Styela clava: one gene and its partner. The protein of the gene in region 2 purifies or fractionates together with the protein of the main gene of each other region. This does not show direct contact. Links are inferred from orthologs where the notes say so. Each region holds a gene or a part of one and is shown on either strand. Other genes may lie near its edges.

The links.
Region 1: the proteins of eukaryotic translation initiation factor 2-alpha kinase 3-like (region 2) and transducin beta-like protein 2 purify together in Homo sapiens (affinity purification with western blotting; 3 studies listed by BioGRID). This does not show direct contact. The link is inferred for Styela clava from reciprocal best matches to the Homo sapiens genes EIF2AK3 and TBL2.

What each region holds. Positions count from the first base shown.
Region 1 is NC_135252.1:3,516,035-3,532,421, reverse strand, and holds transducin beta-like protein 2, read right to left. Parts: upstream 7,417-16,387; 5' UTR 7,365-7,416; coding exon 7,247-7,364; intron 6,634-7,246; coding exon 6,509-6,633; intron 6,321-6,508; coding exon 6,139-6,320; intron 5,696-6,138; coding exon 5,579-5,695; intron 5,148-5,578; coding exon 4,977-5,147; intron 4,759-4,976; coding exon 4,606-4,758; intron 4,376-4,605; coding exon 4,161-4,375; intron 3,906-4,160; coding exon 3,809-3,905; intron 3,475-3,808; coding exon 3,294-3,474; 3' UTR 2,738-3,293; downstream 1-2,737. Other genes in the region: solute carrier family 22 member 15-like, read right to left, coding at 12,076-12,149, 12,777-12,862, 13,326-13,466, 13,680-13,815, 14,607-14,666, 14,865-14,968, 15,270-15,399, 15,550-15,714 and 1 more.
Region 2 is NC_135258.1:16,026,671-16,042,793, reverse strand, and holds the start of eukaryotic translation initiation factor 2-alpha kinase 3-like, read right to left. Parts: upstream 6,559-16,123; 5' UTR 6,469-6,558; coding exon 6,287-6,468; intron 5,530-6,286; coding exon 5,391-5,529; intron 4,824-5,390; coding exon 4,752-4,823; intron 4,552-4,751; coding exon 4,436-4,551; intron 4,108-4,435; coding exon 3,979-4,107; intron 3,566-3,978; coding exon 3,466-3,565; intron 3,329-3,465; coding exon 3,262-3,328; intron 2,745-3,261; coding exon 2,635-2,744; intron 2,058-2,634; coding exon 1,919-2,057; intron 1,241-1,918; coding exon 1,126-1,240; intron 489-1,125; coding exon 316-488; intron 1-315. Other genes in the region: uncharacterized protein LOC120338767, read left to right, coding at 12,487-12,606, 13,182-13,371, 13,875-14,668, 15,211-15,519. UniProt on the Homo sapiens protein: Metabolic-stress sensing protein kinase that phosphorylates the alpha subunit of eukaryotic translation initiation factor 2 (EIF2S1/eIF-2-alpha) in response to various stress, such as unfolded protein response (UPR).

The DNA of each region.
Region 1 (16,387 bases), on a different chromosome or scaffold from region 2:
CCCTATGCAAAACTTGATCAAACGATTCTTTTTATTTGATGAAAAATTATCAAATAAAATTGTGCGATTATTCAGCAAAGTATTGTGCGGATGCTAAGGCATAAACAATAATCCATTTGAACTAGCCACATGAGTTTATTTACAGTGACGAATGAGAAAAATCTTGGACCGGTTGTCGAACTTTACCGCAGATATTCCTCCTAAAGATACTCCTCCTTCTCGGTTGGATAGCAACATGGGTCAAGACAAGAATAAACAGGAAAACAAGTGGTTATGTTTCCGAGCAGCCGTATACGCATTCAAAATTGGATGTTCGTTCACTGTTTTTTACGTAAACTGCTAGTATCGTAGATTGGTACAAGTCGATCACGTAAAATGTCCATTCATTCCTAGAGATCACGAGTTATATTTTCAACGTTTGTGATAATTATGATATCATAAGTTACGTAAATGGTTAAAACTCTCCGATGCCAGTAATGTAGAGTGTAGACTATGCAGTTGGTGCCACAAATTCTCGCAACTAATAACATTTCGTTCTCGTTGTCAATTCTTTCAACCTTTTCGTCCACGGATGAGCACATACGATCAAAATCAATACCTAATTCTAACTTTTTGTGGCGAATTGTAGAAGAGGAAAACAAGTTATGAAAAAAGACACAAAAATGCTCCTAGTTTCAAACATAGCAATCCTTACATTGGAAAAATGAAGTGTCCTTGTGGACACCGGTAAGGCATCTCCCGAATCATAAACGGCAATCGCTATTTTTTTATATGATTGGTTGGAAAGACGAAAGTGATATGGAGATTGATGCACAACAGAAAACAAAAAAATAACAAGAAGTCGACTCTGCTGGAGAAATTGGGCGACATTTTTGAGAATACAAAGTTGATCATGCATATGATGCGTGCCATACATTTCAAACAAAAGAGAACGTAGCGAGAATGACCGAGATTATTTTTCGTGATTTAAGAGGTTGTATACAAAGTCGAAAAAAAATTGAGATGCCTTTGACAGATTATATCTCGGCATATAAACTTTTCGACGGTGCTAAATGAGTCGACATAATAAAAGATTAGTTTGGACAGCAACCAGAAACTGCGGTAGGTAATCCTATCATGAAAGAATTTTTTGGACAAGTTTCATGTTTAAGTGAAAATGAAATACTCCAAGTACCGAAAAAGAAATATTTCGCTACATGAAAACATTGTCTCCTGAAAAATGAATTCATTTACAAAAGATGGTTCAGTGGGTTGTTGTGATGTCTGGCGCTCGATTTACCATTGGGCCAACGATTGTACACAGAACGATCCAAAAAGGAAATTTAGTTGCGCAGTTTGTGAATCCAAATAAAATCATGCGATCACAAGTAAGTAAAGGCTGCTGATGTATGAAGATGTACATTCGACAAATGGTCGAAATAGTATGGCATACGAAACAAGTGCGCAAAGATTGATTTTGGTTGTACACTAACGGTTTGTAGAAAAGATGGGTTGGCGCACTATGTTGAAATGTTGCCTTACAATTTACATGACAAAATTGAGAAGAAGATAAGCTAAGTTATATACAAGTTTGGACAATGAAGTGGGATCCATATATATATACCCTACGTTTGCCGATACGGATATCTTGCATACCATGCTAAAAATACTAAGTCATCGCTTGTTCACTTCCCTTACTTCACACGCGGATTTCCATACCGACGCGATTATCTGAAAAGTTAAAGGAGAAACTGCGCTACTCTAACTCCAGGGTGAAAACAGTGCTAGTAAAAGCTGAAGGTAAAACAAAAAAACACCATACATTTTAAGGGAGCCCTGGAAAGATGAAACACGCTATGTTAGAAACTCTAAATCGGCGAAATTTTGTGCGCCAATGCCATGTATCATGCCAAGTTGGAAGCTGGACCACAGTCACAGAGTTTACCTTCCCAATAACTAATGTAAATGTATTCAATCAATTTTTTATTCTATGGCAGCTCTTGAATACGAATCAAAACTTAATATAATCGGTCAGTTTACAACGCATTTTCAAGTTAGCAGATTGCCTTGGCATACTTTACAGTAGCAGTGATCTTATATTGGCAAAAATCGTTGGAACTATTGACCCAATTAAATTTATATAGAATCGCATCGTATTCTGAACCACAGAAAAACATTATCCGACGGACGGTCAGCTTTTTTAACGAGTGGCGTAGTCGCGGTAAATGTTTGGTGTGCGATGAGACCGGAGCAAACAAACTACGGTAGATTTCGTTTGAACTAGCTGCGAAGACCATACACTTACTGTCTAAGGCTAAGCTCTACCTACCAAGTCGTAGTTACTGGTGACCGTACATTTGAACCCATGTACATTTGAACCCATGCGTATATCCACGGGTTCAATCTATATGCGGGTGCTAAAACCCATGGGTTAGGGTTAGTATGGGTTTAACTATCCGTGAAACAAAAAAAATTCCATAGGTGCAATAGCATACAGGTGCAATTGTCATGGGTTCAAATGTACGTGGGTTCAAATGTAATGGAACCGTAGTTACTAAACTGCACCGCCTCTACCCTTCGGTCAAGAAATTGTGCAAAGATAACTCTTCTACCGTTCAGTTGTAACATTACTAGCGACCAGTTGTAACACTCTAGTGACATCTAGCAATGACCAAAAAGCTACCCAATAACCTTTTGAGCTAAAGGCAAAAGTTAATGATTTAAAGACGGTACCGGTACCGGTACCAATACTTGAAAATAACACGTGTTGCTTCATTGCACTTTTTCATCTTCAACATTTGCAAAGTTAATAAGGTATTTTGTTTCAACTGGATTGACATAAATACAACATCACATAGACTAACTCTAGAAAGCAACTAGCAATTGTTCATAATGCACCAAAACAACCTAATGAGGAATAAGGTAATTAGGAATTGATTGATCATACTATTGGAGTTACAGAGTATTCAACTTTTAAGTTTCCATATCAGACTAATGCCCAATAAAATGTTTAAGAGCTATAAATTCAGGGCAGACGCACATCGGTGTCAAAAGAAGTTCAGCTTAATGTTCACATTGATAATAAAACTAACCCAAAGTCAGGAGTATAGTCAATATTGACCTTGCTTGTGGTGTTTCGGTATTAAATCAAAGAGAAATGAACTAATGTAATACAACTACCTAGTTACATAAAATCTGACAATACATCTTTCTAGCAACACCAAAAACTGAATCAAATTTTATGATCTTCCTCATATAACAATCAGAACAAAAATTATATGCCTGGGTTGCGCCCTTCATCCACTTGCACATCATTAAGAATCAGATTTTTCTTGTGTCGTCAATAAAATTTTATCTAGTTCAGATTGCTTAAGTTTGATTTGAGTCTCCAATCTCTCTCGAGTTGCAGAACTTGGCGGGTGTTTTCGAAGAGTTTCTCTCAGCACTTCAATACTTTCTTTATATCCGAGGATGTTATGGAATACCCGGACATGTCTGGCACAAATAAATAAAAACAGAATGTACATTTTATGTGTGGAAAACAAAAATGCAATGTGATGGGTAAAGCATTGGACCTATGTTGCCATCCTGGGTGAAAAATTGAAATATTTTTAGTCCATCTACATGCCCACCATCTCACTGAATTGGTTAATCTATTCCTAGTCCTTCTGAAAAGCAGTAACAGCCTTTCCAGGTGACTGCTCAGCTCCAGTGACATAAGGAGTAATTGTAAAACATGCTGTAAAAATAAAACCCCCAGTTTTTTCACTACTTTTTTACATCTCTCAGCTGGTTAGTATTGAACATGTATAGGAAGAAAATTATGTACCTGTCCCCAGCAGAAATAACAAACTTTCCTCCAATATCGAATGCCAGTGCGGTTATCAACTCAGAATGAACTTCCTTAAACTGCTGATCAATATCACCTAGTTTAAAATAACGCACATATTGACATGGTATACTCAAGATGTTGAGATTAGATACTTCACAGATAAGGAATGACTACAGTGCGAAACCCATACTAAAATGATAAGGCTTCCATTTCACATGATGAAATGAGTGCCAAATTATATTGGATAAAAAATTTTGACTACATCAAGGCAGACTTGCTAAAATATTAAACTGATTAAATATATACCAGAGATTCATACTTGGAAAATTTGAAAACATGTATAACTCACCTGTTCTAGTTGACAAAACGCAAAAACTATTTAATGATGCAATTGCAGCAACATTACCATCATATGAGAGAGAAGTAAAACAGAAATTATCGGCTGGTGAAATGTCGCCAACATTGAACAAGCCTTCCTTTAACAAACATGGCTCTTGTCCTTTTTCATATTCTATATCAGTGTCATAGAACCTCCACATTCCTTTTTTGGAAACAGTGATCATCCTAAAAATATGAGAAAAAAGGGTAAATCCATGAGCTTTTATTTTAAAAATGTATTTTGTATTCGTATAAATCAGCACTATGGGTCTCTACCAGTCCTAATTAGATATGGATTGCAGATTCAACTTGAAGTCTACGAAAATAAAAGAATTTTTCTAGAATGACAAGTGCCTTAGCAGCTCTAATGTGAACTTATATTTACATCGATAAGTCATATAATAATAACGATATACCTTGTTGAATCATTGTTGAAAGCAAAGGACCATACTGATGATTTGTGTCCCTTCAACTCGAATGCCCGAACAACATCCTTATATGTCCCAGTCTTAGTAAACCTGACCTCCCACACTTTGACATCTGGAGTCCATCCACAAGCACCAACATACCTAGTAGTTAATTTATACAATAAAAAATATTATCTGGTAACAATTAGAGAGGACAGTACACATAGCATCAAGTTAGGAGGCGGTGTTGATTATTTATTCATAGCCTTACTTGGGTTTTCCATTAATTTAGGTGGTAAATGGTAATCAAATTGTAAATGTTTAAAAATGCATTAAATACTATTTTGGTTTTCTATATAATATGGAGAATCAAAATATACCTGCCACATGGAGACACACATGCATAATTATTGGTTCCCAAGTTGGTGTTGATTGTGTTTAAAACTTCTCCTTTAATATCACGAACAATGATTGTTGTGTCTTTGTATGCAGTCATAACAAAACTTCCACCACTGGATGTGGCACCAACACCAATATTGAGCAATTCCTGTCTGAAGAATAAATGATTTCTTTAAAACAATAATATTTCTGAGTGCCAAATGCTGACACGGCACCAAATCCCCTCAAATTCTGCAATTTACATCATCTTTCTGTATTAGTTGACTTTTCCATACTGTTTGCATTCAGTAGCATAGTGAGTGATTGGTGGGCTACTTCCGTAGTAATTTCCTTATTTTAGTTCTATTATGAGTTCGGGGACTGTCTGTGTTAGCCAAGTGAATGAACCCCCTGCCCATAGGTTTAAGTCCCTTTATACAACTTAATGTAAAGTAGGCGAACAAAACTAGTTACCTCCATATTGGTACACACCCTTCTGGAGCGCCGAGTAATTTAATATATCTTTTTCATCTATAGTGCCATTTACACATTGATAAACAATCAACGGAAGACAAAATGAAAATTTTGTGAACTTTAAGATTACTTGAAATCATCCTTGAAATCATTTTCCAAAGGATTGCACATTGTTGTCCTGTCGTCCTTCTTACCAAGTCTGAATATTCTGACATTGTTGCCTCTGGCCAAGCCAACAACAAATGCCCTGAAATTATAGTACGTTCAACTTAATTTGAAAATATTCAAAATGCAAGCAAACACATCCAGCACACAAAACGTTAGCCTTGCAATATTCAGTCCAAGTGACAGCTTTGAATAGGGCTGAACACACTTCTCAGGCCATAGAAAAATGTCCAAGAATAACACATATAAAACGAATTATTTTACAAATATTGTTACAAAATTTACACAAGCTTTGATGAACTTATTCCTACAAGTTTTTTTCAATGCACAGAGCTTGACAGAGAATTCGGATCTATTACATTACAGTTTACAACATTGGTTACCCATATTACTGAAAGTAAAAATGTCAGTACACTTTTGAGCACTTTGACTATCAAGAAACCGAAAAACCTGTGCCGAACATCAATGCTACCAGACCGTCGATACTATATCCTCAACTATGAAGCGCTATAATACTTGTCCCACCTGGAATCCGGGCTAAATTGGATACACTTGGCATGATCAAGTTCAACATTGACATGAACACATTTGTTGCCCAAACCGAAATCTTTGACACTCCATAGCCTAACAGTTCTATCAGCAGCAGCAGTAGCAAAATATTTTCCATTGATACTGAAGTGAACTCCAAGTACATTTCCAGCATGACCCTATAGTATTTCCCAAAAGAATATTTTTTTGTATTACTTTCATTTTTAAAAATTAAGTGATTCATTATTTATATTCTTTAATTTGATATTTTTTTTATTATTTGGACATTATATTTATGCTACTAAAATTTGAGACTAAATAAATCTGAACAGTCACCTTTCAGAACTAGTCAAAACATAACAGTCACCTTCAGACTTGTGTGAAGAAGATCATGAGTAAAGTTAAACGCTTTTTTCAACTGCTTAGAAGTTGAAGATTTCTGAGAACGTTTTGATGACTTATTTGTTCCCACATCTTGTCTCGAATCATCTTCTAAACCAGGAATATGCAATATGTCAAGGACTAGATAATACATTCATAACAAAGTAGTACAGTAATATGCCACAAGCAACACCAAAAGCACATAAATATCAAGCTATTCATCCTCTTATCTAAGGTAGAAATATGCACAGAGTCCCCTTTTTAAAATAGAATAAAATTATACACAATGCAATAATTTACAGAAACTTAGTAAAATAGTGAACAGATTCTTCAATTTTGTCTTTCAGTCTTTGTTTTAAGCAAGCCAAGGGGGTTATGTATAAAATATCTCCAGAATTGTTTATATAGTATTTCTTATTTAACAGTTTAAGGGGCATTTCTGGGCAATGAACCCATTCTTTTTCTGGTAAAACAATACATGTATAATAATAACACAAGTGGTTGGTTGACCAGCCCTGGATGGTCAAGGCTCTTACTGTCTTACCCCAACAGGATCGTATAACTGAAGTGCTTCGGCAGACATCAGGAATAGGCTTTTCTGCCTCAGGGATAAATATGAACATAAAAGACAGAATGAATCTCGAAACACATTCAGACGTTCAAATAGGCTTAAATCTGAGTAGGCCCAACCAAAAGGCCTTTACAGCCTTTGATAAATTCATACCTGAATTATCTTTCTTATCTTCAGTCCTGCTCTGCTTAAACCATATTAAAAAGGCAGAAACAAAGACAAGGGCTATGGCTGCCACAACATTCCACGAACTGAGGGTTTGTTCCTGCATAATTTCTGAACTTAGGATAGGATAGGATTTAGACTTACAAACATATATAATACTAGTTACAAGACTAATTTCATGATATTGAATATCATAAATATGACGGTTGCGGTGGGCACGGTCCGCATGCATACATCAGGTTCATTCACAGATCTGCAGACGATTATTGCAGTATTTTTGCAAACTCCTGATATCAGGATATCTTTTACTCACAAAATTGTACCGTAATTTTCGTAGAAATATTATTTATTTATGGTCATGTGAAAATACGTTGATAAATATAAATTCCTAACACGATATGTCTGTATGTGGACAAGCAAATAAATACATACAGCGGTTCGTTGTGGCCACGTTACAAAAAAAAAACAGTACGGTACCGGTACGGTAGTCGCTTTGGTTCCGATTCCGACCGCCTTCGATGCGGACGTGGCTCTTCGAGCCAATTGAGTGTGTTCGAGAATCAGAATTGCCGGTATCAAGAAACAATTGTTGTTGAAACTTTTAAACAAGATAACAAAAATTTATTTTGACTACGAGACTAGAAATGTACAACTGGGGTGCAAAAAATGGAAGATTTTCAAGCGAATCATTGCACGGAAAGCATGAAGATAAGTTCAAACGAAATTAAGCCTGGACTGGTTTCCCTGTGAAGACTCCGTGATGTGGCGCATCGCTTGCCGCGAACCTGTGATTACCTTGCGTCTGTGTTCGCAGGTTGGAATCATTGAGGTGTGGTTGGAATCCTATGCCTGTATGCGGGGATAATTATGTGCGAGAGAGTGACAGCACATTTGCATTTTGCACCCGTAAACTGCACACAGGAAATTTGCACCCGTATACATTTGCACCCACGGACATCTGCATATTTGCACCCATGGACATTTACACTAGGGTTACCATATCTGGAAATGTGAAAAATTCCCATCAATGTTTGGAACATTACAAAGAACAAGCTGAGAACTAGGGTTGGATTATCCGGATAGCGGTTAACCGGATAACCGATTAACCAAGAGGTATTTTGTTATGTGATAACCGGATATTATTGTAACGGTTAACCGGATAATAGAGCAGTATAAATAATGCATATGCGCATTAGTGATTTTTATATTTTTTGTTTAGTGGCCAATGACATCTCTCAGAGCATATAATATTCACTTATATCCACATCACTCTGCATATTTTAGTCATCCGTGTAATGCTGGAGTGAACTTGACTATAGTATTACATCACAAAACACGCAGAAAAATGTGATTATTGCGTATTTGCGGTATAGAAGAGCCCGACTTACCTTAAAATAAAAGCATTTCTACTCTAGATATGAAAATAAATGGTAAGCTGCACGAACAAATCCAATTTCCTATTTTTGCTATCTTGAAAATTCATCAAATTTGAGCTATTATTGCAATTCCAATGAGTATAATTTATTTAGTACAATGAATGCAGATATTAATTAGCTTATAGTTATATATCAACATTTTCGGGAGAAAAGTCGGGTTCAGTTTCGTCGGTATATAACGCCGATAATTGTTTTGTTTCGCCCGGAACTGAAATGGCCGCAGTATGTTATCTATCGTCGTATCTATCTATCGTTAAGACTTAAGAGAGTAGATCTGAAACACACATTTTTGACTGACAATAAGGAATTGAATGCTAACGAAAATACCACGACTCTTGATTTATGAGCCAGTGATAGATAAAACAAGACTCTATTTTAGGCGCTGTTGAATGGCCAAAATTTCGTAATAATCGTATTTACTGAATTTACAACAAGGGTAACTTTTCACGGGATGTAACTTCTTTTCAAATTAAAACTGGCATAATGCCGATGTTAATTCCCCAAACAATAACGCGATGCGGAAGAAAACGATCGGCGATGATAACACAATTAGCCTGTAAAATTCGACCGCCTTTATTAGTGACGTTTTCGAAAATTTCAAAATGAGGAGGAAAGGCTGTTATTACATTTATGGTTTTCATGGAACTTTCACAAACAAATTTGTTTGCAAAATGGTCTATAATATTTCGGAAAAGATTAATGTGACAGACTCTGTATCGTGTCATGTTTTTCGTTTACTCATTTAGGGTGGTAAGTAAAGTTGTTCAAAAACTGGCGCAGCATTGTTTTGGCTCTGTTAATTTAGTTTAAAAGGTATTCGAATGGAAATAGATTTAAAGTTGTTGCCTAATTAGTACAAACGTGAGAATATTTACAGCGACATGTTAAATAAGTGAAGTTTTCAAATTAGAAGAAATTTCTGACCACTTCGGTTTTTTCATAATCATCAATTTGCTTTGTTATTAAAATTTTTGTTCAAATGACTTATATTTTCCTATACACTTCACGGAATTTGTTCCCCCTATATTCTATTTTTTGGATACTTCTCTCACCGAAATAAAATGTTCGAAATGCACGATTTTTTGTGTTCATGATTTCATTTATATGTATGCTCTTGTGGTATATATTAACAAAGTTTAATATGGCGTGCAAGAAATCACCAAATATTATAGAAAACAAAATACTATACATGACAATATTAAATTTCATTGCAATTGATAGGAAGGTGCGGATGATCAGAAATGATCATTGTGAGTCTGCGACACTAAAATTTAGTACGAGTCAAAATTTAAAGAAAAGAGGCTCTAGACACAAAAAGAAACTTTTAAAAAACTTTACAATAAAGTAGAAATAATATAAATCTTTACATATTATTTGAATAGGGAAAATAACTTAGCAGTTGGGGAAAAAAAAATTAGGACACAATATTTTCAAAAAATGTTTCATTTTATTATTCCGCTGTACATCGGTACGACTACTGAGCTTAAATTGTATAATTGAGTATTTACAACAGAACTGTGTGGTGGTATTCGTTCAATTCACCGCGAAAATCCTGCGAAATCGGTTCTCTAAAATCAGCAGTAACTATCCGGTTAACCGTATATTTGAAATACGGAATACCCGGATATATCCGTTATCCGGATAGTGAAAATTATAGGTATCCGAACTAACCCTAATCCCCACTGCTTCTAAGAAAAATCTGCTGTAGCCGCCACTTTGATTCACGGGAGCCAAAGAACAACACACCACATGCGGCTCAGGAACCGCAGGTTGCCGACCGCTTGTCTATGAGGAATAAAATGTTCGCCAATCTGATCTCCGAAGGTCTGTTATAGGATTTACATATTTATCCCTGGGGAGAGGAAAGTCGACAAGACGGCTTAACCATATGGCGAACCACGGCCTCTCGTCCGGTTACCATTCCATGTCGGGTATGGGATTAGTTAGTTACGGTATTTGTTTTCGGTAGCATGGATTTGATGGTAGAGGAAGTCGCGATGAGTCCAGCAATCTTCTTGCACACAATTATCCCCGCATGGGATTCGAACCTGCGAATCCCGCAGAGTAATCAGAGATGCGGTGGCGAGCGTATGATGATCCACAACGCCGCGCCATATTATTATATTTGAGTTGAAAAATTGAGGGGCCGCGCTCGTACTGCTTAAAATCATAGCAATAGCGAAATCAGCCATGACATGACCTTTGAAATGCAGTTTGATCTAATTTTCGTATTCTTCTGTTTCTTTCGTGTTATTATTAAAATTGCTATCGTAGTCCGCCTGTACGTTTTATTTGATGATACAGGTCTGCTTGTGTGGGAAGGCTGGGCAACTGCTCTTGGTTATTGACCCATTTCCTTAAATATTCGTTTGTTTTGGTTGGCCGTTGGCACTTGTTAGCAGTTTGAAGAATAAAACTTGATTTTTGTCTCTAACGGCTAATTTGCGTCATGAAAAGTCAAGTCAAAGTTCATCGTGCCGTTTTTTTCAATTCCGAAAAACAAAAATAAGAAAAGACACGATAAACAATAATTTATTCAAGAGGATACACAATAACTATATTCAATTAGTGTAGAGGACATAGTCAATGTTAGCATGTTATCGAATTACAACTATTTTCGTCGTTGTCTTCTTCTTGTAGTTCCGCTTCTTCAAAGGTGTTCGGAATTAACTTGGCTCGGGTTTCAGGGAGGAAAGCAGCAAAAACACTGCTCAATAATCCCACAATACCAAAGGCAAGAAATGGGTCATTCGGTCCAGAAAACACCTTCAAATGAAAAAGAAATCACAAAACGATAACAAGAGAGCTACGCCCAAATATATGGACACGTCTGTTCGCAGTACAGTACGGTTTCCGTTCCGTCATATCACAGTCTACAAATATATTCACACCAAGCGAAGCAGTACAGTAGGACACAAAATGGCTTCCAATGCCCGCAGAACATTCGGTGACGTCATAGCAAACAAAAACAAATCTCACAGAGCTAACAGAAATATTTGAAATAAATAAAAGTAATAGCCTTCTGGAGAAAAATTCCATCTTTAACCACTAAAAATTTCAAAGCAATTGGTCCAGTGATCAAAGAGAAAAGCGGTTTTTTAATATTTCCACTAGGTGTCCAAAAAGTGTCAAATAACAACAAGAACAAGAACAACATAACAACAAAACGATCGTTATGTCCACTAAACGTGTCCAATAATAACGACAACGATATATTTGTTCCGTTACCTTTCAGATGCTGCACAATAGTACTTCTCATAAAAAACTTACCGCAAGATTTGCTAAAAATGGAGCAATTACACCACCAACTCTTGCCCAGAACGACATTGAGCCCAGTCCAACGTTTCTCACAACTGTTGGAAAGAGTTCTGCAGTATATATCTAAATAAGATCAAAAGCTCCGCAAATTCCCAGTTTTCCGAAAACCAAAAGTGTCAATTTGTAGTTTGAGCGATCTGAATGAAAAACGGTAATTTAATCTTTCTGTTTATCTACATTTATTTCCAGATTTACATTTTAGTAAAGTAATATTATTGTTTTTACCAAAATAATTTGGTCGGGTTTGTTGTCGACTGAAACGGGATGGTTTATGAAGGCTGAAGCTCTATGAAAGATCAAAAAATTTTTACGATGTCTAACGAGAAATAAAAAAATTCATTCAATCGGCTATAGCTAATTCCAGTTAAACAGATTATCTTCCAGTTACAGCAATTTATAATACGTATGTATTATAGTCATTTGAGACAAAATTTACACTATATAATTAAAATACATTTGATCAATTAAAACTGGATTTACCATGGAAGAGCAGTTAATTAAATTGCTCCAACCAGGCCCCGCTTTATGTATTATGTACTTTACTTTCGTTCGAATCTTTAAATGTATATTTTCATGACAGACTATTTGGCCTGAAATTCTGTTTATGTTATAGAATTTCGTAAACAGCACTTTATTGTGGGTCCGCAAGCATCATTTCGACTTAACGAAAACTGTTCTGTTCAGTAGGCATCCAAGTAATTACATTAAAAAACATATTTTCAAATTTGTAAGGTTGCTATTCTCAGGTAAATATTTGAAATTACCTTGGCCGAAGGAAACGATGTACATGACGAACATACACAGTGCATCTAAACCCATGAAGCAGACCAGCGTTCGTCTTCTACCAGCCCTGTATTGAGTAAATCGATTAAAACTATATATATATATGGGGATAAGAATTGAACAAATACAATCAACTGAGTATACTTAGCAACACCTCTTCAATTTCTTGCGTTATATACTAATAATATAGCATTTGCTGCTTATTTTCTATGGATGTGGCCATTTTTTATGGAGTCAAATATATCAGTATATAAATATAATCCCGCGGCCGGTTTATAATTTCACCACGATGCCTTTACTCATTTTCAAGGTCATATGATCTGTTCGTTCATTCACTTTCAACGATTCTCGCTTTATTTTGCGGTTATTTTGTAGGTTAATTTTTACCAGTAGAACGAATAGATGTTTTTTTTTGGTGGACTCATTCAAGTTATCAGCCTGTCAGTCCCAGATTTTGACTACGTGATTTTTAGGAAAGTTCAAAACAAATGGTGAGTTCGAGATTTTTTCCTGTTATGGTATTGGCTTACCATCTTCTCTCCATAAGATAAATCGTAAAGGGTATTGATGGAAGCTGACTCAATCCCGATATTAAATATGCAACATAAAAATTTGAACTAAAAGATCCAGAACCAAGTGTTATGCCGTAAAATACAAAACTTGCGGTGAACCTGAAAATACAACGTGATTTGAGTCAAGATAGACAAACCTAACCGGATATACAATGAAGACGGATTTCACACATGGCTATTTTTTTATATAAATACTCGAACAATATTTGGTCAATCTATTTCATTTCGGTATAACTCTCATTTAGATTGATCGTATAGATACACATTACGGATGTTATTATGTCAATTTTAGCTATGCAAAATTATACATACCATTGTAAACTTAAAATGGCTGCTCTGTATCGCAATACAGGTTTTCTTATCAAATTTATAATTGAGCCTTCCTCGTCTCTTGAGGCATCTTGCTCTTGTTGTGCATATTCATAATTTTGTTGTAGCATTAGACGATCTAGTGAAATATAACCTTTAAAGTTTAGTAGGAACTTTTAAGTTTCGTAGGAACAAGTTACACAACTTTAGCTTCCAAGAACAACTTCGTTGTGTCATATCATTTTCTCAGAAATTTTAAACACATCCCATCCGCACGACGTACATAATTACCCGTATAGAGTTAATTAATAAGAGTTTCTGTTCATGGCGTGAATCACGAGGTCACGTTTTCAATGTTAATTCGTTATTTGATCAACGTACATATATACCGTTCAATAGATTTTCAATGTGAGCCGATTCTAGTTTTAAGGAGTTTTAAAATTGTATTCTGTATATCGTGAAAAACTACGAATGAAATCAAATAGAGGTTTTAACGTCTATTCATTCGCGTGGGTGTTGAGAGGTAAAGCGTGGGCTTAAGATTACGAGTCAGAGTAGGTCAACGACACTCTGGTCAGTCAATCCTGGGGATTCTGTTTAATCCCTACATTTGCAACTGTTCAGCAATTCTGTCCTATGATGTAAATGTTTCTTTTGGGAAGTTAAAAATATAATATCTTGACATTCATTCAAGTGTTCATCTAGATCTGACTTCATCCAGGAACGGTATTTAAAACGAGTTTAAAATAATTTCATCCCGTGCCTTCATTGACGTTTTCATCTCTATTGATGTCGACATTGGCAAGATAGCTGTTCTAAAATCTTCTGAAGCTGGTTAGAAGATTCTGTGTTTGTGAATTTCATTTGTGAGAATGTTTTAAAAAAAACGTATATCTAGAATTATTTAATCCGCGTTTGATAGATACGTACTTTCATTTTGATGTCCCTCATCTTGGCGTTCTTTCGCGTTCCCCGGCAGAAGAGCATATTCTTAATATATTAATAATAATTATCAAGCGTTATTGAAATATTAGAATCATATTATAGGAGAATTTACGTATCAGCAATTACACATGTGATTTACTTTTTGTTTTTCGTAAGCAAATATCTTTGAGTGATATTCAAATTTGCGGGCATCCAAAATATTTGTTCATAATCACATATATATATATATATAATATAAAATACCTGTGTGAGGCGATCCATTCCACCTTGATAGTTTTTGCATCACTTCTTCTGCGCTGTCTGGTTTACCGCGAGACAACAGCCAACGCGGCGACTCTGGGACAATGCTGAAAGGTGTTAAGCTAAATTTCTGCATCAATTTCATGTAATATGCACTTAAACTTTACTAATGTATGGACTAGCAGTATTGAAAATATTGGCATTTCGACAGAACTAGCACGGGATATATAAATATTTCACAATGCTATATCCAATTCACCATCGTTAAATAATACAAAAAATTAAACATCCTCGATATGAAAGCTTGAGATCCATTCGCTTTCCCTCGGACTTTGCCATATTTTATCAATATTGAGAAAATGCAATTTATATCTTCAAATATATTCACTAACGTATTTTTTCACTTACTATAAAAAAACAAATCCAAGAATTCCAGGTATCGTTGTAATAAAATACATTTGTCTCCAACTAGGATAAAGATAGGCAACCCATAGAAACGCTAACATATTTGCGGTGAATCCTATTGCACCGAGAGCACCTGAAAATAGATTCATTCAGTCCTATAGCTGTTGTCGAGCTTATTGGTTTTCGCAATTATTATTTATTCATTTTGGATTAAAATCATATGAAAGTCATATAAGCAATTCCTGTTGTACCAGTAAACGGAATTGGAGTCATTTGTACTCACCGTTCAGGACCCAAAGCTTCGATCCCGTAGTTTCTTGTATAAGTATAGTTGTCACAACACTTAAACCGCCAACAAGGAAGCCTGATATAGCTCTACATACTGCAAATTGTTGCCAATTTTGACAAAATCCACTGATAACTTGAAATATCAGAACTAATATGTATCCTGAAAATATATTTCAAATGCTCTTTTTAATTACTTTAAAATCGCAGAAGTCGCAAATAAATTTTCTCACCTATAACCGAAATTTTCTTTCTTCCATAGCGATCGGATAATTGTCCAAAAACGATAGTCCCAGGCATAAAACCTACGTAAAAAATTGATTGAAGGAAGCCTGGTATCCAACTGCGATCTTCAGTTAAATCCCACCAAAGTATTTTTGCAATAAAGAAAGCATAACGACTAACTATAGTGATTTCGAATATTAGTTGAAAATCAAATTTTACATAACATGATCCCAAAATACGTGAATTACTAAATCAATGTATATAAAAAAAAAACGGGAAATCCCTAGATTGTTCACTTAATAAAATGAAACTACGTTACCTTGGACACAATGATTTCTGCGCCCTGAGCGTGTGGATTGTCATCAAAGACTGTCGACGGCGCAGCAGAAAACACCAATAAAATCACATCAGGGGGTTTCGACAACTAAATAATAAAAAATAATTATACTTTGTCAGATTTTTGTTTAAATTATTCATTACTATGCGATTTTGTATTGTTTAGTATATATACGATTCTATATTTTTGCCAATACTTGCTACTAATTATGCAATGCTTTGTTAGATTTAAGTTATTGAAGTCTCAATTGAAAATCTTACAGCTATTCGCAAAT
Region 2 (16,123 bases):
CATTCAATATTTAGTAATCAAATTGGTCAATATAATTTTTCGATTAAGCATTCTTAATTAAATATATAATGAAAAATAAAAGCGCACATGTCTATTGCTCAATAACCAGTTTTCTCATTAGTTCCACACTAGACGATGTGAATAATGTGTAACATGTAACTAGTTATATATAAATATAATGTTTGATTGTGATTCTATTTGTGAAACACATTTCATTTCAGGTATTTAGAAATGACTGGTTATTTATATAGACATTTTGACATAATTGATAAGCAATACTATTTCAATTGAAACATAATAGGAAATTCCACTGACCTTCACCATTAGTATTATCTCTATATATAGCAAGATTGTTCCCACAACTTCCTTTTGCATTACTTTTCTGATAAACTTGAATTTCACCTTCTTTAGATTCACCCACAACAGCACGTTTCAAATGATCAGACGATGCCGTAAATGGTCGATATGGAAATTTCACTACCTGGTTACTGAAAGAGATTTGATCATTGAATATCAATAATAACAAAGTAAAAAATTAAAATATTCCAAATTAATTCCCAAAAAGTTAAGAGATAGTTATGTCTGTACAATTGAATAAAAAAATTTCAATATACATTAGTATTCAGATTAATCAATAAGTGAATAAGTGATTTGAGTTCTAGACTAAAAGCGTTAACTAGATGGTATCGCAACTTCGAAGGGTAAAATCTCATGCCCATCACCTCACCCATAGTGTTTTAAATTGGGTAGGCAATGCCGAACAGGAAAGATTTTTCAGTCATTTCAACTATAGTATTTTCTTTTTATCTAAGAGTAGCTACTTGGATAGAGCATTGTTAATAAAAACAAATTGTGTATAAAGATGTTGTGAAAAATTCTATTCACATGTCTCATTATAAGTTTATAACCCACATATTTACCAAAAAAAATTAACTGATTTTTTTAGTTCCCTCATATATATTGGATGAGGAATTGTGATTTATACGGTACAAGAACAGTTTGTGTATAACACTGATCCTGGCAGCATTTTTCTTTAGGAAATGTCACTTTGTACTAAAAAAACATTATCCGAAACAATACAGTTCTCATAAATACAGTAATGGTTTGATTAATAGTTCCACGTACAAAGGAGATCTAGATCTTGGTCTAACATGTGAACGAGGTGAAGGCATCATACTGTTTGTTATTGCTTTCCTGGTAGTTGATGACACTTGAATGTAGACGTGGCTTCCATAAAAACCTGAACATTAGAAGTAAAGTTAATAAAGTAAAATAATTTTTCTGTGATATGTGGCATGGAATTGATCTACATAGGTGCTAACCACTACTCAATTATTTTTACAGAAGATCCATATACTGAAGTGAAAAAATTATTGCGGTACGATCCTTCCAGAAAATATGTTCCCGATTTCACCTAGATAAATTTCAGTGCCTCTAACTTTATAAGATTAAAAAGAGAAAACGATTCTTGGAAAACTGAGTAAGTAGAAATAGTTTAATAACACCTGCAACTAGTAGATCCCTGGCTAGTGATTAATTGCAAACCAATACATCATTATTCACATTGTTCATTCTGGCGCCACAGTTGTTTTCGTATATAGATGTTAAATACAAATATGAGCTAAAACTTTATCTAACAATTATTTGATAAGAGGAAACTTCCAAATATTCAAAATTAAAGTATGGGGCCGACGTTTGCAAAATAAATAATGATTTAAATGAAGAAAGATCTGATTTGAATACTCAAAGATAACGAATCCTCAGTTACATTACAGGCCCCATTTAATTGGTAAAGGCCAGTCACCAATCATCGTCAAGCAATTATATCAGAGAGCCAGGCAAGATATAAAAATATGCTGAACTATACAATCAATAAATGATGGGTTCCTAAAATGAAAGTCAAGATAAGGACTCTCACCCATATAAATAGTGGGGTCTCCATTACTTCGGCCATTATTTCTATCCCTCAATGCAGGAACTGTCTCTGGATCGAATAAATCAAGTTTTTGATAGTTTCCTCCATTGACATACCAAGCATTTGCAATTGGACTGTCAAACTAAAAAAAGTTTCTTGTTTAGAAATTATGGTAAATTCAGTTAATATCACTTTATGCATTCAATGAACGTCACTTTATGCTAGGCGCTAGGAATACCTATGTCATCACAACTGTTTACCCTGCGCAGGTTCGATCGAATCATGTAAGGAATAATTATGTGCAAGAAGACTGCCGTCATAGGATAGATTTCATGACCATTGGGGCTTCCTTCACTATTACCGGTAAGTTAATGTATCTGGAACGAATAACTGATAACTATTACAATACTGGACATGGGCCGGTAACCAAATAAGAGGCCACGATTGGCCATATAATTAAGTTGTCTTATCAGATTCATCTATCTCAGGATAAACATGAAATCCTAATCCTATTCTATGAGGCTCAATTCCCATTTTGTTTGATTTTAAATAATCCATAATGAAACTTGAATTCAGTAATCTACTCTTTTTGATTCACCATTGCAAAATTCAATATATATGACATTTTAAATACATGTTTTAGTATACTAAACATAAAAAATTGACTATTGAAATCTATTTTTATTCCACATTTTAATCTATCACAAGTGGCAGCATACCTTGTGCTTCCAATCCAAACTAGGTTTATTTTCATCATTGAACTTGTAGATAGTGCCTTCTGGAACTAATACATTCAGTTTTGAGAATATACTCGATGATCTTGGGTCCGCTAGAATGTGAATAATAATATAAATGAAAGACAGCCACACCAGCAATTGTTTAAGATTAGCTCAAAAAGCATTGTGTATGTACGGTATGTAGCATTGATATTATGCCTGAGTTTATACTGATACCGTACCTTCTAATTTCATCTACAGACAGTAATAACAATAGCAATTTAGCAACAGAAAAAACAGAATCACATGTTGAGACAGTAACAAAATTGTATGTTGAAAAATTTTCAAATAAAAGATGCCTCATGTAAGGAATACACATGTTTTTACTGGCTTATCACAGCAAAGTCGTATTAAGTTTTAAAAAGTCTTTATATCATTCCATATTGTAATACATCTTTATTTTTTTTACATAACGGATAAATTCAGTATATTTGAAAATGAAATGAATGGTAGAGCAGAATTTTGAAATACCAAATATAAATATAATAAACACACAAAACAAAGACATAATCAGTAATAGCGACTACAATACTATAGCAGGTCATGAAATTGTGCCCTAATAAAACTTACTTGAAGCATCTGGATTCCCTTCGGAGTGAGAGTTATCCTGGTGGTGATGATGCATTGTGGTAGACCCCTGAAATGTTAGGACATAAATTACTTCTATGTATGCTTTATTAATAGGACTATTAACATTTGAGAATTATTGTACAATAAAAAAATCTGTGAAATGAAAAGAATTTTCGTATAAAATCAAGATGCTACATAGCCTACCTGTTCAGTCGAACTGCCCTCATCCCCAGAATGTTCTAATAGCTGATAAGTTTTTCCTCTCGAAACCTCCAATTCGACTTCGCCAACGGTAAAGTTCCAACTGTAAAAGAAAAGTTAGATAAACACAGAATATAATGTCCAAATAATTGAATAAAAGATTTATTGCTAGTGAATTGTCATATGGATAACAGAAGAGGCTTGTGAAATATCATCATTTTAGTCACTCAGTTAGCAGTTTGTCTGAAATATGGATGACCATTTCTCCTTTCAAATACTTGGACATGGTTGGTGGAGAATGCCACACCCATAAAGATGTCTCATGGAAAATGAAAACCACACAAAAGCAAGTGACCTATCAATTCTCCTATATATGATCACCCTCTCCCTTACAATTTGATCCTTCACTTCTCTACATTTTCTATAAATATATATTCAATGAATTGATGTCATTATATACCATTTAAAATCTTGGAAATCAAATTAACAAAAACTGACTGTAAATGTTATTCTTACTTTTCACGTCCATGCCTATTTTCCACAGAACGAACTGTTTGTTGACTTCTTTTGACAATAATTACATCGGTTGTTGGTGATACCTCATGAAATGTTTCACATCCATACGCAGAACATAGATATACAATACTAGAAGAGACAGAAAACAGATTGAGACCCTCAATGTGCCTATTTTTAGGATGAGAGAATGGAATTTTTCTATTTAGCTCAGAAAAGAAAAAAGTCAAAAAGATTAATCGTATAACGAGCTGGAGCTGTTTGTCTAGTTATCAGTCCATGACAGATATGGAAATAGTGAACCAGATATTCTTCCCAGATTCAAGGACTTTCTGGTGAAGGATGCCATAACAATTTTGTGATATCATGAACCACCCCACATTAACGTGTAAACCAGCAACTCTTTCCCACATGATTATCCATCGTAGGCTCGCAGCTTATAATTATAACACAAACATACTTTCCATTACTAGAGTCTAGTCCAAATGTTGTTACTTCTTTTCCACCAACCAGTATAGAGTCATCAGAAACTTTGAATGAAGATGATAGTAATTGCTCAGCTGAAAATGGCAAAGCCTAAAAAAATAAATAGTAAACTGACAAATAGTTACCGAACTTGTTAGGCCAATTTCAAATGAGATATATTTATGTATGGCCGTATGGGAATAACTATTTCCTGGAAGGTAATGTACATCTATTCTGAAAAAACTATATTACCATTTACAACTTTTTCAAGCATAAAAAATATATATTTTATTAAATTTAAACAAACATACCTCAACAGAATTTCCATCAAACTTGAACAAGCCACCAGATAATGAAGGTATGAGTCTGATTGTCTTCCCATCCTGCAATAAATAAATAGAAAAATAAATTTGGTTACTAAATCAGAGTCAAAGAAAAAAAGCACTATGTTGTGTTTTTTTTATCAAATTTACAGGTGAATATTTTTAATTCGCAATTCTTTTATTCATGAAACTGTACTATTATGATAACATTATTAGAAGCTCTCTATTGCCAATCCGTTGCACAAGACTAGTGTAGTGCCAAAGGCTCAATCATGTCTGTTTATTAGAAGGTGGAATATTTGTTAATCTTGTCTCTCTAAGTAATCACAAAATAAATTCATTATAATAATATACATGGATGAACGAAATATTTATAACAGATTTACCCAAAAGACCTTTTTATATTTGAGAGAATTGTTGGTACCATTAAGCAAAAGATTATCAGTTGATTACAGTTCAGATTGGATGACATGGTAGAAAACACTGGTCCAAGCAGTATAATAGTGATAAATTGTTTAACTAACTGATCAAAAAGAATCTCTCTATTTATTTATATTAATATATGAATCAAAGTAGTGTAAAAAAAACCTGGTGTAAAAAAATTCAATAATTACTAAGTTTAACAACCTGGTTGATTTGCAGTTTGGAAATGCTCGATGAAACGAGTGGGCCGCTCCCAATATCCATTGTCCACAACAACTTTCCACCATGTTTTGTGTCCAACGCTGATATTTTTCCATCCAATGTACTCACCACAATAAATGGGCTAAGAATAATTAAAGAAATGTTGGAAGAGATATACTAACAATTAGGGAATTCTATGTATTATGTGTTACATATTATGCAGGATGTAGTATAATGAAAGAGTGTTTTATAATGTTGTGACATTTGGGCTCTATTACTTCTTTACTATACCAGAAGCTAACATCCTCATTAAGTGAAGTCTTGGTAGATACTAGAACTAGACATAGTGAAAATACAGTAGTTTAGTTAGACCCTAACAAAGATGGCTGACACGACGGCAGATGTGTAAGATCATGCAATATTTGTCACGATAATAATAAAAATTAATCGTGACATGCATCGGTCGTCACATGACCAGTGTCTCCGCTAGACATTTTCTTGCTAAAACTCTAGAATGCTATATATAGCAATTTTTTTTCCTGCAGTAAATTTGATTATATTTTTCAGAGGAATCCAATGACTACGTTTTTAGATTGCGCTTAGATTGATCTCGTGAAGGAGGGGTTTGCATGCATTGTTACAATTGATGTGTTTCAATGTGAGGGTTTCTGGGAATCAGAGAACTGTGATGTACTCGACTTTCAACAATGAAGCAACAAAAGTTGTTTTTTGTTTTGAAGGGTTACAAGCTTTCTCTTATTTCTGAATAACTCTTTTCAGCAATTACTGAATTACCAACAGACAGACAGACCAAGGACATAAGAAAAAAGAAAGAATGACTACAGACATACCGATTTAACTGTCTACGCTATCGTAGTTTGGAAATATTGAATATTCACCTATTTCCTTTTGGTTCGTTAACGTTTGAGTGTGGTGTCGGAAAGACTTTGACAAGATCGTCCAAGTTGGTCTCTTTTCCTGGTTTGAATGTTTGGGTATGGACTTGCGCCTTCAGCAAAGAGGTTAGAGCACCAAGTGATGCCAACAATGCTGCCCATTTTAGTTGCATTAGATGTAGCATAGTACAGTAGTACAATGACACTTTTTATAGGTAGTAAATGGTCGGATTTAATTAAGATAACTAAAAATAACAAAATAAACATTACACATATCCTGCAATTATGGAGTGCAACACAATTAAGGTACAGACTTAGGAGGCAGATAAATGGAAAAGCAAAGAATAAATACTTGCAGTGACGGAATGACTCAAAAACCGGCCGCGTCATTATCGAACACGAATAATCGCGCTACTTTGAACAAAAACCAAAACATCGGATGACCAGGGGAAACCCCTGAGATGACGTGTCCCAAATTATGCTCTCTTCCGACACCTTGTGATATATATTAATGATAGACAGATCCGGTAGATAATTTGTTTATTTTCGAATACTGTTTATCAAAAATGTACAGATTACAGTGGATGGAAAAAACAATCATAAAATATACTCGAAAAGAGGGGCGGGCAAGATAATTTTTATTTTGGTTTGTTCGCAAAAACGATACATATTGGATGAAATAGCCACTGTGCGTAAGATGAGCATAAAAAAATTAAATGTCTGCATATCCCGGTGTTTCAAATCAAACAAAAACCGAGTGATCATTATCATAACATTGACCACAACGTCCACCCAAAAATGTGATGATCGATTTTGAGTTCTCAAATTTTTCGTTCAAACTTTTCCATATTCAGTTCCATTTTCTGGTCCCGATTGCGAGTTTCACTGCAATTAAATCTCGCGATTTAAAAAAGTGGAATAAATTAAATTTTTTTTATTTAGTTTTTTTACTTATGTTCGAGTACAAGCACAAACTATTATTGGCCAGAGGTGAGGCGATTTCTTCAAAACATCATTGTTAGTTTTATAAAAGTAAGACAATACAGAATGCTGAATCATGGATTTTGTGGCAGAACTAGAGATGATGATTTATTTGCGAATGCATTTTATTAACTCTATGCAATTCAAGAACCCTGCTGAGAAAGTCTGATTTTGGTCAAATGAAACGTTACATGAAATACGTTTGTGTTAGTTTGCAGCAGGACTCTTGAATTGCATAGTATGGTATTTTTATTTCTGTTACAGCATCCTTGCATTATACGCATACTTATCCACTAGCGCAAAGGCATTGAGAAAGGATCGGTAGTTAGTCTCGCGCAACCTCTACTGTTAGCATTTTATTTATATCGTTATTGTATTTAAAATAATGAACATGAAATATAATCAGTGGACAAAATTTCGAGATCAACAAGGCCAACCGACTGACTGTTAGCTATTCAAATGGCACGAGTAAATGTAAGAAAGTAACTAACAAACATATATATGAATCATGACTGGTTGCGTTTCCAGTCCATATAACACCAAGGTTAGGTGCGCACGAACAATTCATAACATTTGTGGCCACTTTTTATAAAACACTCATAATGAAAATAATTAGGGACCAGATTTAAACTGCATATAAGCACTTATCATGAATATCAGAGTTGAACTTGAAAACATCAGTATATAATTAGGGCAAGCTGTAAAAAGTCAATAATTATAGTATTCATATATAGTTTAAGTCAGAAAACGATGAACTTATTGGATACAATAAACTAGAAGTCGTCCCCTACTGTACATAGATGGTGTAGAATTCAGTGTTTAGTTTTGACAAAAAATGGTATGCAACAGTTCTTGAAAAACTCACTACAGGTTACGAAGCAAAATTACGTTACAAAGTATTTTTAATACTATCCGATAGAACAATTAAAGAAATGTCATTCATTTTCTCAATTTAAACCTAAAAAGTCATATTCTGACGTATATTGGGCTTTGTAAAAATGACGGCGGACTGCTCTGACGTAATACCACAGGATGACGTAATATTCGTAGAAATAGCACATACTGGAGCCGGTGGGATTCAGAATTTCTAAACATGGAAGCATAAACTTATAATCCAAATAATAGATACGTGTGAGTATAATCTTTACAGTTTGATGAGTTATTGGCGTATTCAGGTGTCTAAAACTCTAAATCCCACTAATTATTCCAAGCATATTTTGTATCATTTTTCATAATTTTGTTGACACTCATTCTATTTATTTCGTAGCTTTAAAGTTTAAACATTTCATTTTTGTACAAAATCATTCCTTAATGTTCATTGAAAAGTAGCAAGCAACTGGTTTGTCAAGTACGGCAACTCAGTCGTTAACCCCACTGATGTGATTTTATCTACCATCAGTTGATTTGCTGATTGTAGTCTTTATAGCAAACTTCTTCATATTCCGTCAATTATAAAATTGTACTGCAAACTGAAAGATATCTGATCTGCACTGCAATCCCAGTCGCAACTATGGGGCATGCGCGTGCATGTCGTCGAGTTATACTATACTCAGCATAAAAAGTTTTGACCTTAGTCCATGAATAAATGTATGAATTATTTGATGAAAGTAATGAAGTAGATTAAAAGTTGTTTGCAATCAGTGACGTTTAACCCAGTCCCAGAACGGCGGTTACAGTTCAACTTCTGAATAAACGTGTTGTTGTTTGCTAACGCTGCGGGGATAGTGTGGCGCGGTCATAGATAAAAATGTTTGAGTTCCGAAGACAACGATTATGGCTTGTCATTGAGTACATTAGTTTGTTTACTCATGTTCTATGAAGATTGCAGCAATCTTATTATTATACAATTGACCTGATGACGAGGGTGGTGGTAGTTTAGACAAAAAGTTAAAATTTATGCGAGTTTTGAAGTTGTTTAGTTTATAATCATTTTTGAGCTTTGTATTAGTAAAAGCATCAACATTAAACTTTTGCGGACTATAGTATACAAATGAATATAAGCACCTCGCTAATGTGTAAGGTTGCCATCCAAGGGGTACTATACGTGGTGGTATATATTGGTCGAATAGATCCCATCATTCCCAATATTAGTGTATCTTTGCGTCTAAGGCCCTAAGCGACTATTTACTTCCACATCATAGCTCCTCGTCAAAGAGTGAATATATTGGTGTCGAATATCTATAATTTGGAGGAATCCCATCTCAGTCTAGAATGACCGTTTATAAAATATAAATCCAAGTACAAAATTAGGTAATGTATATATTTATCATAAAAATATGTAGATATGATAAAAATATTATCGATTGAGTATAACATCATTTTACGGATCATTAAAATAAACACGTATAAACGATGTACAAGTTTTTTTTTTAAATCACGCATCCGTGGAGTTCGATTAAGTTCTGGCATTTTTATGTTTCAATATTTTAGCGCACAGGTGGTATTCGTGGTTGTCACCAGATGTATATCTATTTGATATTATGCGATGATATTTTTCTTCGGTTACACTTACAGATAAAAATATTTGATTTCGATTGAAAACGATTAACCTTTGGTATATATTGAGTACATTAGTTTGTTTGCTCTAGCGATAAGAAAAGAAACTTGTTGTCTCGTAAACGGATTAAACTGAGCACCCAGCGCATCCGCGTTGCTCCTAAATTGTTTAAAGTTGCTGGTACCCTTGTTTGTTAGTAAATTTCGGTCTTTGCTTCCAATTACCGATTTGTATAGAGGCGCAGTGGCATACGTACTGAGCTAGTTTGTGGGATTAACAAGTAATAAATTTGTGACCACATGTGAGGCTTTTATATTAAACTTCGTGTCTCCATCTGAATGCGAATTGTACTCTTCGCACAACGCAGATATGAAGATTACGATTACAAGGCGTATAACAATCAAGCATGGGCTTTGTATAATACGGCATTTGTACCTCAAAAACTAGTAACGAGTATTTATACATTGGGGATTGGACTTATGTAAGTAAATAAATATCAAGTCGCGGATACATCAATAATGCTGGTTTGACGGAACTTCCATAAACTTTAACAATTTCTTCTGCAAACATGGGTTTCGCTCTCCTCTTCAGAAATGATTTGCTATTATGGATGTTTCGCGCGCGGACAAGAGGGTATTTATTCTGAGAATTTCAATTGAATTCGATACAATAGTAAAAACAATCTGGCCCGTAGTTAGGGATTTAAAATTTAAGAAGATACCGCTTTTCATTTGCTTTATATGCCTGGTTTGGGGCATACGTGTTCGGTATTGTTCAGTTCTGGTCCGTCCATATACGAGTATAATGTGGCTACTGGTTCAGAAGCGACATTTTGTCTGAGTACGAGGTCATCCATCACGTCACCTTTCACTCCTCCAAAAAAGACTAGATCTTTGGAATTGTAACCATAATATTGATTCGTCACCGCGCGTTCTTGAATTTACATTGTCTCGTTTGTTTTTTCAAGTTCACCGTCATAATAAATGAAGGTTTTAAACAAACAAAGACATGTTCCACAATCCTCTAACGAGACATATTGCTGCTATTTTGGGAAATGGGAATCGTGCCCCCGTAAAGAGAGTTTACAATATCGAGTGCTCTCGTCCTCTGGCAGCTATTCAAACATTATTATACAGAGTTATGATATTAAAATATTTTTAATATAGCGTGTTTGAGGCCGGACTTTAATTTTATCTTCATGTCGCGAAAACGCCCGTTTGAAGTGGACTATCAATACCGTGATGTAATGTTATACTCATAACAAGAATGAGGCAGGGAGTTTAATCTCGAAAAAGACCTAAGTATCCATGGGAAATTTGGATGAAATTTTGAATAAAAACAAGAAAAATTGTAAATATAAAAGTGAATAGGTACTTGTAGTTGCAGGTTGCTGAATAAAATGAATAACCTATTAGAGAGTTTTGTTATAGAAATCTCTAGATAAACCACTTCGATTTTAATTAACTGAAAGCTGTTAGAAATTGAAGAAATATTGACTATAGATGCTTGATTTTTTTAAATGGCGAACGTGACTCTGATGAGGCATGAAACTATTTTAGTTCAGTTCAAGTGCACCTAACTTCTTGTCGAAATACAGTTTAGGACATTTTCGTAATTCAGGTTAAAAGCTTCAGCTAAGTGGCGTAACTGAGGACACGACATGAACTCTCAAAAATTTTAGAACAGTGAGTAATCCATTGTTCTGTATTTGGGCACCTTGACATCATTACAAGTATGTACATAAGTAGTCTGGGTCCCGCTTTTCTTTGGACGGAAGCTTTGTTCGTGGTGGTTAATGGTTGAGCCAACATAAAGTTGTTTTCGTATTGATTTTCTCCGCGTTTGAGCATCAAAATCAATAATGTCGGACTAGACTATTATTTTAGGCAATATAACTTGTACAGATACTTATATGTACGAGTACTTCGAGAGGTTTTACAATACTTAAATAAGTGCGATGTGTTATTAAGCTCGTTCAATTCATTGAACGGCGACCCTATATTAGTTTCAAAGTTTTTGGCAATTTGCTTTATGCTGGTAAAAACCATTGATTTGAAATCGTGGGAAGATTTGAAACAAGATTTTACAGCTCAAGCCTTCTATTTTCTCGTGTTTTTTTTTTAGATTCTTGTACATTCCTTCCAATGCGAACGAACGTGCTGTGTATTTTCGCGTTAATTATATATTCACAATTTTATAGCTTTTATTCGTTTGTTTAATTAATAGGGCTTAAATTCATTTCCATGGAGTAACGCGCTTGAAACTTTACGTCATATTGTCAGCATTTTACGACTTGATATATAGCGCCAGGATACTATTTGATGGCGCCTTCATTTTGATCGAGACGGAGTAACGCTATCCAAAGTTATTGTGTTGTTAAGGCCACATGTACACGTGCGTTACATGCTTGGTCTTCGACGTTTAGGAATTTTTTAATTTCAGTGTTGTAAATGTAACTGATTGAGTAAATATATGTGTAATACTCAGTAACCGAGATTAAGGGAGTTTTTAATTAAATGTATATAGACAAACGTCATACTGAATATAAATATGTAATAAATGAATGTATGTAACAATGTGTAACGGTACGACGTAACGTAGGCAGGAAAATACTAATATATCAGTATATGTTATAATTTCACAGTATATTAGCAGTGCTTGTTCTCCGGTCATATTCTTATCATCGTTGGGTATTTGGGGACATTGAGACGAAGAATTCAAGGCAATGTCTCTTTTCAAAACATCTTCCTTTGCAGAAAATGGATTAAACTTTCAACAATGCAATCGACTGGAAGAAAAAGCTTTACGAAAAAAGTTGGATCACATGAAAACAATGCATCGACAGGTATGTGTTGAAGCTATTTGAATACTGTCGCTCTGAATTTATTTGTATAAAACGTTATTGAAAACAAAGGACAGAACACGTCACTGACAGGAGTGACGTCAACGATGTCGGCGTTTTAACAAATTATGTTAGTTAAAGATATTTATCTTATTCGCAACATAAAACACCGACAATGAATATTAATGAAGTTTCCAATATGTAGATATGGTTACGAGTAATTTTTTCAAAGCTTATTGAAAAATTAGCAGACTGTGAGGACAGGGAATTATAAAAATGCAATATACTAAATATATCTATTACCCAAATATTTTCATCAAATGCGTTGAAAATACATATTCGTGAAATTACGTAAAGTCGAATAATCCCTTGGATATTCTAAGAACATTATTTCATTTTATGGTCACCGACTCGAGTATTGAGTAAAATGGCGTTGCTATTGAACCATTAATAAGTATAGTTGATATTTTAAGTAACTTTTTTCCATCGCAAAACAAGTTAAAAAAAAACATGCTTAGTATCCATACTTAGAGCTTGATACAATTTCTTTTTTTAAACAACTTTTCATTCGACTACAGGCTGATTTTAATTTTGGACTTGAAAGTAAGGTGATTACCAAAAGACTGAGAGACAACCTTGAACGTTCAGCTCAAGCTGACGCAAGCATCAAAAAAATTAAAAGTTCAATGCCGGAATGTAGTACAAAGTATCGCAAGAATCGTAACTTCGCAAAGACATTAATGGAAGTCTGGAGCGATGAAGATGCGGGTATAATAAATATATTTAAACATTGCTAAGCTGCATTATTGATGTAAGCAGGTCAATGCGGATGTTACTATTCGAAGCTATTTTTACCGTTCTAAATCATTCTGATTCTACATATCGGAATTTAGTGATTTGGTTATGCTTTCTGTGTCGTATTTTTGTATCATCAGTTGTAATTCATTTATAAATCGGCAATGATATGTATAAATTACTGGCAAAAATAATTTACTGAATATTGATTACTAATATAATATAAAAATCCATCAACTTGAAACTCGAAAAATGAAAAATGGTACATACATACATTTGCGTTAGTGCGCTTGACGTGATACCTATAGAATAGTCACCTTCATTCTGCCCCCAACTTATTTGCATTAGATGCATACATATCCACCAGAGTGTTATCATCGAAAACCGATATGCAGTTAGCCGCACGGAAATCTAATCGGTAGCACTGAGTTCGAGTAATTGGATATGAAGCTTTAGCTCTTTGTTTTATGCTACAGGAAACACAACTGCGATGTCTGAAGAAGTTACGATTCCTGCTTGTATAAATCTTCTGCGATCAGCAGGTTTTGAGATCGATAAAAGTTTATCCCGTAAGTTGGACGAGATGCGAAAAGCGCAGGTGCAAATACAGAAAATGAGAAATCCAAGAAAATCCAGGGGCGGCCAACGCTTTAACACTCGATCGAAATCTTTACCAAGATTCAACAACGGGAGGCTGACAAGTTATGGAAATGAAACACAGTCGGACTATACAAATCCATTCGAATCTCAATCAACTCATTTGCCACTGATTCAAAATGGCGGTAGGGAGCGGTTGTTGTCTTCTTCGTCGTCGACGGCATCTTGCGACATTCTAAAGAGCGGGCATTGGCGACTACGGTCGGACACGCAACCAAACATTACTCCGGTAGTAAAACTCAACCGAAGCAAACGCCCATACTCTGCTCCGGATTTGGAAACAAAAGTAAGTTCGGTGGTTAAGAAATGTACAATCAAGCCGCAGATTATTGAAGATGAAATTATGGAAACGCAAGAGTCTATAGTCGAAGACTGCTCAAACGATGACGCTGTTCCTAAACCACTTACAAGACCTGCATCCGTTAGTTCGTTCAATAGTGACGATATGAGAGCGTATGGCGAAGAAGTCTCTCACAATCAATGTCCGTTGCAGCAATTGCACAAAAAGATTCATACAAGCCCAGAAGATGTAAATTTATTAGATCTACATCGAGCCACAATCGCATCAAGAAATTATCCGCGACGGATGAAAACGTTTATGAGAGGAATTCATGTAAGGAGTGTAATATATGTCTACGAAAAAAGGAATATGTTTTTTCTTCCAACACCACTTGTAACAACAAACTTGGGTCGTTGAGTTTAACTTGTCTCCTATAAATTTCAATATTTTTTTTTATCAATGCTTCCATATTTTCCTTTAAGCCTTCTGTCGTATTATTTCTCAAATTTTAGATTATTCAACATGAGCCGCCCAAACATAAATTTTGTGATTCTTGTAGCTCAACGGCTGGTATTATATATCTATATATATTTGAACCTTTCATGTTCTGAAGTGTGTTACCCCATTTCTGTATGCTGTTCATTGATTTTGGCTAGTTTCGCTAGCTCATATCAATACTGTAGCAGATTTAGCCTATATATCGTGAAATGATTAATTAAAATTTTAATTTCGACGAGCGTATGTATTGCGTAATCTGGTGAAGTCGATTCTAACTCATCTTTACACTCCTGTTATGAATTGGACATGTTATGAACTGTTATGAAAATATATGTAGTCGATTAAGCAATATATATATAAAATACTTTTCCATTCAGGAGTGGCAAATTCCAGAAGACGATAAAGTAGATGGACTAACGGGAGACTATTACTCATTTCGTATACAAAAGAAAAAGGGAAGTTGTACATCGCAAGGTGAAGGAAGGCGAGCAACATCTGCCAGACCATATAAAAGCAAGTATTCGACAGATGAGTTGAGCGGTGTCAAACTGTGCAAGGATACCGAAGAGGAATATTATGAAAAAGCGTTAAAAACTTCAAAGACAGACTTGAGGCACAGAAGTATGACGATAAAACCGCTCAGTACTGTTTGGGGTTCGAGCGAATATATAGAATGCATATTGTGAATCCGTACAGCTCTGATCTGACTTTATTAATGTTCACATTCTAGATGAAATTTAACATATAATATTTGTACGGTAGATTTGCGTACAAACAAAGCCAAAAATTCAAGTATTTTATTTATAAAATTTCAAAAACTCCTGAATGTTTCGAGTTCGGGAATGAAGAACGTTTCCATAAGGGGTTGGTCTTTTTTGTTCAGCCATCATGTGGTGTTTGTAACGTGGTGTGCAAATACAGCCAAAAATATGCATATAGATATTGACAATAGATGCTTGACTTTTTAAAGTGGCGAACGTGACTCTGATGAGGCATGAAACTATTTTAGTTCAGTTTAAGTGCATCTAACTTCTTGTCGAAATACAGTTCAAGATATTTACGTATTTCAGAATAAGGCTTCGGCTAAGTGGCGTAACTGAGGACATGACATGTACTCTGAGAATTTTTAGAACAGTGAGTAATCCATTGTTCCTTATTCGGGCACCCTGACATCATTACAAGTATAAGTACTACTGAAGTATGCGCATCAAGATGTCGCACAACCTGGTACACAACCTGAGTTCAGGTTGTGCGCCATCTTAGTGCGCATACTTCAGGAGGTCCCAAGTA